Linked DNA regions of Canis lupus familiaris. The protein of the gene in region 1 purifies or fractionates together with the protein of each later gene. This does not show direct contact. Links are inferred from orthologs where the notes say so. Each region holds a gene or a part of one and is shown on either strand. Other genes may lie near its edges. The genes, in order: COPS7A, DCAF11 and COPS8.

Evidence for each region.
Region 2: the proteins of COPS7A (region 1) and DCAF11 purify together in Homo sapiens (affinity purification with mass spectrometry; 3 studies listed by BioGRID and IntAct, counting the BioPlex papers as one, with this or other methods). This does not show direct contact. The link is inferred for Canis lupus familiaris from reciprocal best matches to the Homo sapiens genes COPS7A and DCAF11.
Region 3: the proteins of COPS7A (region 1) and COPS8 purify together in Homo sapiens (affinity purification with mass spectrometry; 11 studies listed by BioGRID and IntAct, counting the BioPlex papers as one, with this or other methods). This does not show direct contact. The link is inferred for Canis lupus familiaris from reciprocal best matches to the Homo sapiens genes COPS7A and COPS8.

What each region holds. Positions count from the first base shown.
Region 1 is NC_049248.1:7,780,961-7,784,707, forward strand, and holds the start of COPS7A (COP9 signalosome complex subunit 7a), read left to right. Parts: upstream 1-1,144; 5' UTR 1,145-1,303; exon of another isoform or gene 1,304-1,416; intron 1,417-1,786; 5' UTR 1,787-1,829; coding exon 1,830-1,991; intron 1,992-3,659; coding exon 3,660-3,735; intron 3,736-3,747.
Region 2 is NC_049229.1:4,239,396-4,243,142, forward strand, and holds the start of DCAF11 (DDB1- and CUL4-associated factor 11), read left to right. Parts: upstream 1-1,441; 5' UTR 1,442-1,604; intron 1,605-1,711; exon of another isoform or gene 1,712-1,984; intron 1,985-2,003; exon of another isoform or gene 2,004-2,337; intron 2,338-2,453; 5' UTR 2,454-2,673; coding exon 2,674-2,828; intron 2,829-3,734; coding exon 3,735-3,747. UniProt on the Homo sapiens protein: May function as a substrate receptor for CUL4-DDB1 E3 ubiquitin-protein ligase complex.
Region 3 is NC_049246.1:48,074,973-48,078,719, forward strand, and holds the end of COPS8 (COP9 signalosome complex subunit 8), read left to right. Parts: intron 1-842; coding exon 843-905; intron 906-1,936; coding exon 1,937-1,984; intron 1,985-2,694; coding exon 2,695-2,774; 3' UTR 2,775-3,746; downstream 3,747-3,747. UniProt on the Homo sapiens protein: Component of the COP9 signalosome complex (CSN), a complex involved in various cellular and developmental processes.

The DNA.
Region 1 (3,747 bases):
ATGAGTTCCAGGCAAATCTCTAACTTTATTTTTTTTTATAGGTGTTCAATTTGAAATCTCTAACTTTTTTTTTAAGATTTTATTTATTCATAGAGACACAGAGATAGAGGCAGAGACACAGGCAGAGGGAGAAGCAGGCTCCATGCAGGGAGCCGGATGTGGGACTCAATTCCGGGACTCTAGGATCACGCCCTGAGCCAAAGGCAGACGCTCAACCACTGAGCCACCCAGGCATCCCGAAATCTCTAAATTTTTATGAGCATCAATTTCCTTATCTATAAAGTTAAAGTAATAACAGATACCTTCCTTACACCTAGGGGTTTTTCGTCTCGCAGGAATGAAAAGACTCGATGCGCACGAAAGCCTCACTCTACAAGTACTCCCGGAGTCACACTGGGGATGCAGTATAGTTACGAGGATTCAACGGGATGCAATTTTAAAAGATGCCTCACCAATAGTAAGCAATGTTACTACAATGTCAGTGTTACCTATTATTACTTCCTGTACTTTTCCCACTACTTTCCTCTTGCTCCTCAAAAAAAAAGGAGTGGTTAAAATAGCCAGGGAGGGGGATCCCTGGGTGGCGCAGCGGTTTAGCGCCTGCCTTTGGCCCAGGGCGCGATCCTGGAGACCCAGGATCGAATCCCACGTCGGGCTCCCGGTGCATGGAGCTTGCTTCTCCCTCTGCCTGTGTCTCTGCCTCCCTCTTTCTCTCTGTGTGACTATCATAAATAAATAAAAAATTTTTAAAAAAAATAAAAATAAAAAAAAAAATAAAATAGCCAGGGGATCCCTGCTGCGAAACTTCTACTATTCTTGTCTTCTTCCTGTCTCTCATTTCCCTCCCTCCCTTTTTTCCTTCTCCAGGCCGCTCTTTCTCATTACAGCTTTCCTGCCGCCTCCAGCGCCCTGTGCAGCCCGATCTCCAGGTTTCAAGCAGCTTTGAACAGACACTTAACCACCCGGTACCTGCTGCAGACAAGGGGCTCCCTTCGCATTTACCATCTAGCGCTCGTCGGACAATAAAGTTTTATTGAAACAAAGCAGGAAAAAAAAAAGACGCCGTCCTTCTTCCTCAACAGCCAATCAGAGAGTAGAATGACTGGCGCTCGCCGGAGCTTCAGCCGTCGGAAGGCGGGGGAGGGGCCTGGCCTCGCCAGAGCGGAAGTACGAGCCGGAAGCCCGCCATAGAGTGTAGTGGCCAGAGCGACTCTGCGGGGAGGTGGCAGGAAAGGCTTGGAACAGCTGCCGGAGGTGACGGAGTGGCTGCCCCGCCCGGTGTGCTGGAAGACGAAGCTTCCAGGTAGCGGCCCGCAGAGTCTGACCCAGGGTACGACGGGGCAGTCGGCGTGAGCCCGCGGTCCCTGGGCGGCCTCTTTAAGGGAGGGGGCGGAGCCACGTGGAAGGATCGTGAGGGTGAGGTCACGTGGTTGGGGGTACTTGTGCGGCACCGTGGAAATTTGAGGGAGCGTTGTTGTTAGGGTGGACGCCATGTGACACCCCTTCCCCCACCGCATCCTATGCCTTGGGGTTCAGTGGGGTGCACGTGGTGGGCCTTGGGATCAGGCCCAGGGATGGGGGAGGGGGCCTGGCAACTCTGTCTCAGCCAGGCGTCCGTCAAAGTGGCCGGTTTTCGGATTTCTAGAACCGAGTTTTAGACAGCCCCATCTCTCGTTCTTCATTTGTAGATGTGACTCAGTGCCTCTGCAGTCCAGCCCCTGGCCCCTGTGCTTCCCGCCCTCCCAGGGTTCAGGGACTTCCAGCTTCACATTCTCTCTCCTTGCAGCTCCAGATATCCTGAGCCCAGGCCCTCCCAGCTCAGTGCAGCCATGAGTGCCGAGGTGAAGGTGACAGGGCAGAACCAGGAGCAATTTCTGCTCTTGGCCAAGTCGGCCAAGGGGGCAGCGCTGGCCACACTCATCCACCAGGTGCTGGAGGCTCCTGGTGTCTACGTGTTTGGGGAACTGCTGGATATGCCTAATGTTAGAGAGGTGGGTTCCTGGCCTAGAAGGCACACATGGAAGCTTGGGACTAAGTCTGAATTTGAGAATGGGTGGGCAGGGCTCATTTGCAACCGCATAACCATTCGGTTGAACAGGAATATGGTGATGATTAATTAGCAGCTGGCAAAATAAGTAGGCAAGTAAACCTCTCACTTTCCTTTGCTGATGAATCATCTGTAAAACCCACTGTTTTTCATTTTTAAGCCAAAGAGTGATTCAGAAAAGGAGACCTAATTCCATCCTGTCTCCTCCAATGTAGTACCTCTTAGTAAGATCATGTTGCCTTGATCAGGTCACTTTTACTTTAAGACCTCCGTTTAAAATTGAAACTGATACTGCCCCTCAGTGTCAATTATAGGAATCAGGTCAGATTATGGGAAGTGTAGAATCTGGTACAATTGGGAGGAATGAACATGAAATTGGCAGCCCCTCCTCTCCTCACTTTGTACCCTTTGTTCATTCACTTAAGTTAGATAAGTGCCTAGAAGTGTTAGAAGGTGGCTTTCTCCCCGAGACATGTGGCAAGATGCTAGGGACACAGCAGAGAGAACTGTTCACATAGAGTTAAGAGTTTAAAGTCTAGGGGGTGCTGGATCACCAAGATGTGTGACATCAGCTCAAGTCCTGAGGTGCTATGGCATTGATATGCAGGCAAACTGTGTTAGCTTTTTGAGAGCCAGTAATTGATGGAGTCAATGGATTTAGCCTTCAGGAGTCACTGGTATATGGAGAAAACTCTGGCTGCCTTCTTTCCCTACGCTTTCTTCTACAGTGGAACTAAAGAGGGTCCGTTAAGGTGAAAAAAACAAGCATTTGTTGAGTGCTTGTTTATCTCTGCGGGTCATCTGGGAATACCAGAAAAGTGTAAGACACAGTGCTTATTATCCTCCTAAAACTTATATTCCAGTTGCAGAGATAAGATGAATGGATATGGCCATGTAAATTACTCATTTAGCAAGTATTTTCTGAGAGCCAAATAGCTCTGCAGACCTGAATAGCTCTGCAGACCTAACTGGGTGGGATACCAGGGCCTGGAGCTGTTATCATATTGGAAAGAAAGATATTCTTCGGTAACAGCCTAAGGGTTTGATCGATTAAGTGCCAGAATGAGTGATCAGTGATTGGAGAGGAGATCTGAGTGGGCTGGCCTGGATGATGAAAGCCTCCTGGGTGCTGCAGGTCTGACGTAGAGGCCATGCAGCTCTCAGAGATGCATGAGGGTAACGCAGGAGTGTTTGGTGAATTGGGAGGTACGGCAGACTGCCTACTCAGATTCAGAAATATTAAACATGCTCTAAGGACCAAAATGCAGTTTACAATGTCTGAGTGCGTGTGTGTGTGTGTACATGCATGTGCGCTCACTACCAAACACTCTGAATGTGCTCAGTTCTGAATTTGGGGTAAGAATGAAGACGTACGGAGAAAGAGGGCATGGTGGATTGGGGGGAGTAGTGTAGACAAGGGCCTGGAGGTGGCAATGAGGCCTTCGTATAGGGAGAGCCATCAGAGAGGCAGAGAAGTCCGGGGGGGGTTGGGGGCTGGGAGAGCTGATGGGAGAAGGGAGAGATGGGGCCAGAAAGTGGAATTGAAAACAGAATGAGGCTAGGGAACTGGAGAGACGCCTGTCCTGTCACCTCTTCCTTTGTATTTTTGCAGCTAGCTGAGAGTGATTTCGCTTCCACATTCCGGCTACTCACTGTGTTCGCCTATGGGACATATGCTGATTACTTAGGTAACCAGAGGG
Region 2 (3,747 bases), on another chromosome or scaffold:
AACTGACCACCACCTTTAAAAAAACAAAAACAAAAAACCTACCAGTGAAACTTGCACAATTTCCCATGGCATACAAGTTTTTGTGAGGTGTGTGTGTTTTAATGATTTCAGATTTTCCAGTCCGGATAACCCAGAAACCACAGAATCCTAAGGCCTCAGTAAATGTCACAGGGAAACTAATAGTAAGTTACCTGACAATGAGAGGTGGGTAACGGGCAGAACCGACTACATACATAACCCGTAGAGCCCAGAGCAAGATGAAAATGCGGAGTGCTTGTTCAAAAATTAAGAATTTGGTGGGATCCCTGGGTGGCGCAGCGGTTTAGCGCCTGCCTGCCTTTGGCCCAGGGCGCACGCCGGGCTCCCTGCATGGAGCCTGCTTCTCCCTCTGCCTGTGTCTCTGCCTCTCTCTCTCTCTCTCTGTGTGACTATCATAAGTAAATTTTTTAAAAATAAAAAAAAAAATTAAGAATTTGGGACACCTGGTGGCTCTGGGGTTAAGCGTCTGCCCTGGGCTCAGGGCGTGATCTTGGGGTCTCTGATCGAGTCCCACATCGGGCTCCCTGCATGGAGCCTGCTTCTCCCTCTGCCTGTGTCTCTGCCTCTTTGCCTCTCTCTCATGAGTAAATAAAATCTTAAAAAAAAAAAAAAAACTTTTTAAATTAAGAATAAGACGGCGATAGCAGGACATTAAACCAAGCACGGGGCCCTTGGAAGCGTAGAGCCCAGTACCGATCGCACGCCCATATGTGGCCGCTCTAGTGATCAGAGATGATAAGCTCGGCTCTACCTGTCTGGAGGCCAAGAAGCGCCCGGGTCTGACCACACCCTCGCCCTCCTAGGGACACTGAGAGGCAGGGGGGCCCAGGGGCAGCTAAGAGCCCTCGCACCCATCCCTGAGCTCGGGGAGGCCCTAGGTGAGCTCGCAACACTTCCCAGAGAATGCGGACTGCCGTGCAGCTAGGAACCAGGGCCTTTGCACTCGGCGCCGCGAGGTCACTCGACCTCCTGCCTGGGAGAGGATCCCGAGACGTGGCACGTCCGGGCCTTGGGCTCAGTGGGTTACTCATCAACCCAGAGGAGGGGAAGGAGGCGGCTCTCAGGCACTCCCCGGACTAGGCGCCCGGGCCGGGAGGCCAGCCGAAGACCGACGATCTAGGGAAGGTCTGCAAATCCCGGAGAGCCGAGGAGAGTCTGAGGGAAACAGACTGAACCGGAAAGGCCCCTAGAGACCCTGGCTAGTATTAGGGAGCGTCTGCAAAGACCGCGGAGAAAAGCCAGGGATCGTCTAAAAAGTGGCCAAAGCAGCTAAGGGCTGGTCTAGAAAGGGCGGTCCCCACAAAACAAGGCTCCCGGATCCCGGAAGAGAGGGTATGGAGGCCCGGATCTCCCTCTGTGACGTAAGCACACCCCAAAGGCACTGGCCACCCCTTAGAGCAAAGCCGAATGAAGCTGCAGCCAACAAAAAAAAGGAAGGCTGAAGCCGGGGTGGGGGCGGCGAGTGAGGAGAAAGGGAGGCCCTGAGAGATCGCCTGGAAATTGTGAAGCCAAAAGAACGTCAGGGGCCGACAGCAAATTGTATCTTTCGCTAAAGACACCTCCAGGTAGCGAAGCACCGACTTCTTAAGCCCCGCCCGTCACCCGTTAAGCGTAGTTCCGCCGTCTCTCAGGAAGCAGCCGTTCCCCACTTACTCCTCCCAACCCCGAGCGACCGCCCTCCTCGGTGGCGCGCTCTCCTCCCCCCCCGCAGCGCTCGCCCACTTTCTCCCGCCCATCCAGCAGTCGCCGCGCTCCGCCGTCCAGTTAGCGGGCCAAGGGGGCGGGGCCGACAGGGGCGACGCGTGACGTGTGCAGCCGCCGGCCGGGCAGCCGGGAGATGCGTGACGAAGGAGGCGCGTGACGGAGAGCGGTTGGCCGGGCTGCGGCCTCAGTCGGTGTAAACAAGGCCTCGAGCCGCTGCGGGTCCTGCGACCGCTCCTGGCTGGTGGGTGGTCTCGCGCGGGGCAGGAACCCGGCTCCAGTGGGAGGGGCTTCTCGGCTTCCTCCCTGCCTCCCCCACTTGGCGTACACACCCCCGGCACACCACGTGGGCGTGAGGCGAGAAAGGAGGGGGTGTTAAGTCGAATTCGAACCTTATTGGTTGTCGATGCTGCCGGCTTTTGCAACGGAGCGCTCTGATTGGTTCCTAAGGGGGGCGTCGGGGGGTCTCAGAGCCCTAAGGCTTTTGATTGGTTAGATAAGATAAGCTAATGAGGCGCTTTCTTCCGCGAGGGGTTTTGATTGGTCGGCCAAAGAGGTTACCTGGGAATTCACCCACCCCTCCAGGGACTTTGATAGGTGAGTTTGAGGTAGAAAACTGAGAAATTCCTCTTCAAAGGATTCTCATTGGTGAGCTAGGGTAGCGCCCTAGGCTTCACTCTCTGATTTTTTTTTTTTTTTTTTTTGCTTCACAGAATTGGGGGTTTGTGTTCCTGAAGCCTTGGGAGTTGTCACAGGCTACAGAGAATCTGTCCTACAGATTTCAATCCCTAGGAAGGGTCGCCCTCCTAGAGATACCTACCGTTCTATCTCGGGAGAACCCTGGTGTTTCTAGAGCAGGCTTTGCTTTCACCGAACCTAAGGAGGTGACAGGAGGAGTCCCTGCACAGGACCTAATGATGCTGTGATCAGAAGATGGGATCACGGAACAGCAGCAGTGCAGGAACTGGGTCCGGAGACCCCTCCGAGGGCTTGCCCCGAAGAGGTGCTAGCCTGCGTCGGAGCGAGGAAGAGGAAGAGGAGGATGAAGATGTGGATCTGGCCCAGGTACTGGCCTATCTCCTCCGCAGGTAACTTACCCTCTGATGTGTCCCCACCAGGGATCACCACAGTCCCTTGATCCCAACTCCAGGCAGGGAGGTTACAAAGAATAGGAAGTGAGATTAGCCCAGACCAGCTGTTCTGTTTGAGCTTCCCTTCTGGACACTCAGGCACTGAGCTCAACACCCAATAAGAGTTGTTTTTAATTAGGGAGGGTCATGAAGACGACTTGCTTTTGTGTTTGAGGGGACTGTTGGGGAGCCTCTCTAGCTAAGACTACACAAATGGAATCCATTTTCCAAGTAAGTGAAAAATAAAATAAAAACCTTGCTATGATAGAAAAGGAGTGACGTGAAGGGTAAAGAGAAGAGCTGGGGAGGTGGGTGTTGAACTTTCGAGAAGTTGCTGACATGTGATATGAGGCCATGTGGATTTACTTGAAAAACAAGTTTAAATTAACCTAACTCTTACCCTGTTCTTGAGGAAAGAATGCTTTGAGGAAAGTGACCACCACCAGTAATTGACTGGAAAGGTGTGCCACTGGCTCCATTTCTTAGCTGTGGCTCCTTGGGGAAGAAGACAAGCTCGGGGATCCCTTCAGAATACTGTGTTCTGTGATGGACTCCTCAGGCAGAGGCTCAGAAGGAAATGCTCTCAGAATTTTTAGCTCCTTAGGAAGTCAACTTAGTAGGTGTGTCAACTTCCATGGAATGTTGGGGTTCTCTACTCCTGCTGTAAGCACGAAGATTCATTTCCTACTGTATCTTATAGGAGACTGAAAGTAACAGCCAAGGTCTGGTCAACCTCAAACTACAACATGGGAACAGTACGAGGGTTTGAGTAGCAGGTGATCTAAGAGCTGAGTAGCCATTGACTCTGAATTTGGTTGGTTTGGGGAACAGATCCTCCCTTTTATCATGGGCATCTCTCCACAGAGGCCAAGTGAGG
Region 3 (3,747 bases), on another chromosome or scaffold:
TGTGCCTTGTAGCATTGTTTTACCATAATTGACATTTTTGATTCTCTGACTAAAATAAGAACACTGTTGAGTCCACACCTTGTTCCTCAGTTTCCAAAGCCTACCACAATTTTAGAGGCATAAAAGGCAGGTTAATGAAGTTCCTGGAGTAAATCATACTGTTGCTTATAAACATTTGTTTTGATTCATCTTGAAATTGATCTGTAGTTTATTACATACTAATAACATACCCCTGAGCCCTACTCTTAACTGACTGCCTGGGTCCGAGTCCTGTACCCTCCTCCCAACCCCATACTAACTGCGTGACCCAGGACACGTCATAGGATTCTCCAAAATTCATTTTTCACATCAGTTTAGTGATGGTTCTGAGTCCTACTTCATAGAGTTGTGTGGTGATGACCTGATATGATTGCTGTGGGACGGTGCCTACTGGCCAAGACTCGGTTTTGTCATTGGCATCAGCTTTGTTACTACTGATAGAGCAACTGGAGGCAGTGTCATGTACATCCTCCTTAGAGATGGAAGTGTTGTTTCCGGTATATTGACTAGATTAATACCGTATTGCACACTATGGAAGACTGGTCATTTGCTAGGGATTGTATCAGCCTGATAGAGTAAAACGAGACTTTGATACACATTTCAGAAATGTTTCAAAAGTAAGTCCATCTGAGAATGCTATCTATATAATCAACTTTCCTAGTAAAAATACACATTGTAGGGTAACCTGGACTTGTCAGATCCTCCATACAAGTAGTGCCATTGACAGATTGTGGATCTTGTAAATGAAAATTATAGTAACTTTTGGTTATTGCTTCATTTGTGTGTTAAATACATATCTCTAGGTATATTGGAACAAGGATGGCAAGCCGACTCTACCACAAGAATGGTTATGCCCAAAAAGCCAGGTAGGTGGAGCTCTCCATCCATATATGCACCATGGACCTCTTCTAAGACTACTTCAGTCTTTTAGACATTGAATTTGAGTAATTTGGTAATAAGGTTCTGCTGTGCTAGCAAATTGAAAGTAACTCAGTTAAGTATAGACCTGGAATGATAGACGCAGCAGAAAGGATTTTAAAAAAGATCACCTAGTTTTACCTTGATTTCTAAAAAAAAAATTTTTTTTTTTTTTTTTAAGAACCGGGTTTCCAGGATCACACCCTGGGCTGAAGGCGGTGCTAAACCACTGAGCCACCCAGGGATCCCCCAATTTTTTTTTTTTTTTTGTATAAGAAACTATATGGGTTTCTCAGAATCCATATTACAACTTAATTCTTACTAAGCATTAGTCTCCCGTCCACTTACTTATGGGACCATTTCTAAGTGTGTTTATCCATATCTAAGTCATTGTCTTTTTAAAAAAATATCTTCTTTTTCTCCTTGTACTATAGCCGTGTAGACTCTTCTCTGAAACAAGATTTCCAGTGGCTTTAACTTTCACAGAATTAAGTTCTTTGGCCTTTTAAGGCTTAAATTATTTGGCCTGAGCTTGTTGTCTCCATCTGAATTCCCAGCCCCTCAGTCCTCCTGAAGTGAGCCGTGCTCATTCCTGCGTGGAGGTCTCTCCTCCCTTGGCAGGAGTGCCCTTTTATGCCGGGTCTTTGGAACTGGGCTTAATGCCATCCATACACCCTCTCCCTCAACCAGAGTTCCTTCCACCTGCTCCGTGTTCCTATCATGTAGACAGTGTTGACCCCTCAGCAAGGAATTCCTCAGATTTCAGTGGGCTCTGCCCTGGGAAGTTTCAAGAGGTGGTGAGACCCGGTCCCAGCGGGTCTCACTGCTGTAATGAGAAGACCCGCGTAATCATATAGAGCATAACTGTTAACCGTTTGAGAAGTAAATGGTAGTAAATGCCATTACATTACAAATGACATGTTCTGTGTGAAAGCTCTTCACAGTGACTCATATAAACTGGGCTGTTCATTGTCCTTAGTTGCAGGGGCCCTGGATGTGTCCTTTAACAGGTTTATTCCCTTATCAGGTACGTTATGTTTATATATTCATTTAAAACATTTCATTGTTCTTTTTTTTTTTGTCATGTGTCTCTGTTTTCCTTAGCTCCCACATTGTAAATGAAGAGATGAAATTCTGTATTTGCTGTTTATAATGATATATTTGGTTATAATAGAGAACGTGTGGGCTCCCCTCTGTAGTTCACCTTGAGGCCAGGGCATCTTCTGGCCCAGTCACGGAGCCTCCGTGGTGTCATGGGGGGAAGCCGTGATGGGGCTTCTCACCAGCACTTCCTCGGAAGGCATCCCTGGGCTGACATGTGCTAAATTAAAAGTTGAAACTAAATTCCTTGATAGGGTCTTTGTGGGTTTTTTTGTTTTGTTTTGTTCACTGACAATTTAATGTCCTCCTAGAGCACTGCATGGCACGGTAAGCACTGGGTGATTGGTTATTCACTGAATATCATGTCAGGTGGGTATATGTCCTTCCAGGAAGAGCTGTGCTCTCTCAAGAGAGGTGTTGCTTGTTAACCTGGAAACTTCAACAAAGCTGGACATGCCTTTGCTCCCCGTTGAGAAAAACTCATCAAAGTTGAAACTTTGCTTGTTTTTCAGAATGTCCAAAATCAATAAGAAAGTTTCTTTATTGATAAATGACAGGCCTGGAAGGGTGTGGGTGGCAGGGCCCAGGTGCTGTCACATGGGGTCTAACTTTAGTCTCTTTCTGTTTCACTTGCAGAGCCTGCCCCAGTGCCCCCAATCCCCAATGAGCAGCAGTTAGCCAGACTGACCGATTATGTGGCTTTTCTCGAAAACTGATGTATCATTCTGAGTCCAAGATCCACCTTCAGAATCCTGTATACTGACAGATATAGAAATGTAAAATTTTTATTTTCAATTTATTGGATGGATGAAGCACCTCAGCATTCCTTACTGAGTATGTGATAAAATACATATATAAAGTATATTATTATATATTTTGTCCTTAAACATTATGCTGAATAGTTGTTGAAACAATTCTCATTTTGTAATATTTGACAATTTGGATGGAGCCTGTCAGTATTATGCAGTTTAATTTCCTAGTGACTGACTGATAAAACAGCTCTCCTGCTTTATGTAGGTCAGTGGTTGACAGCTGTTTGCCCCTGCCCCAGCGTACAGCACACCCCATCGGCACTGATGGTTGATAGTTGCAGTGATTCCTTTGGGGTTTGAGGAGGACTGTCCCTGGAGACAGTCTCTGAGCTGCCAGGGATTCTGATGCACCCCCTTCAGAGAATATGCTCTCTTTCTCCTCACCTCCTGAATATCACTCTTACAGAATGCTGAAGTGTAGCTGAGGAACAGAAGACCACTTCCTCAGTGAACCAGTTTGTTAACTTTGATTTTTTCCTGATGGTGTGAGTACATCCATTGCTGGCAGTGGAGGGCTTGCCATGAAAATGCAACTATTTAAGACCTTCAGGAGAAATATTAGATGTAATACTCCTTTCAGAAGAAGGGAATATTAGGGTGGAACGCATTATATTGGCAAGGAAGCTATTAAGATAAGTGATCCACTTTGTACAACTGTCTTGCAGCCTACTGGTTGCTTATTTTTATCCTTTGGTTCAAGTTCTGCCTTTTGGAGAAATACCGAACAAGTCTTGCAGTTTTTGTGTGATGCCCTCTGAATATTTGGAGGTGTTGATTGTATCTTCAGGTTAAAAGCCCCCCTGCTTCATTTATTCTGCATTTGTTCAATAAATATTTAATTGAATCAGCTGTTTCATCTGAGATAGTTTCTAGAAAT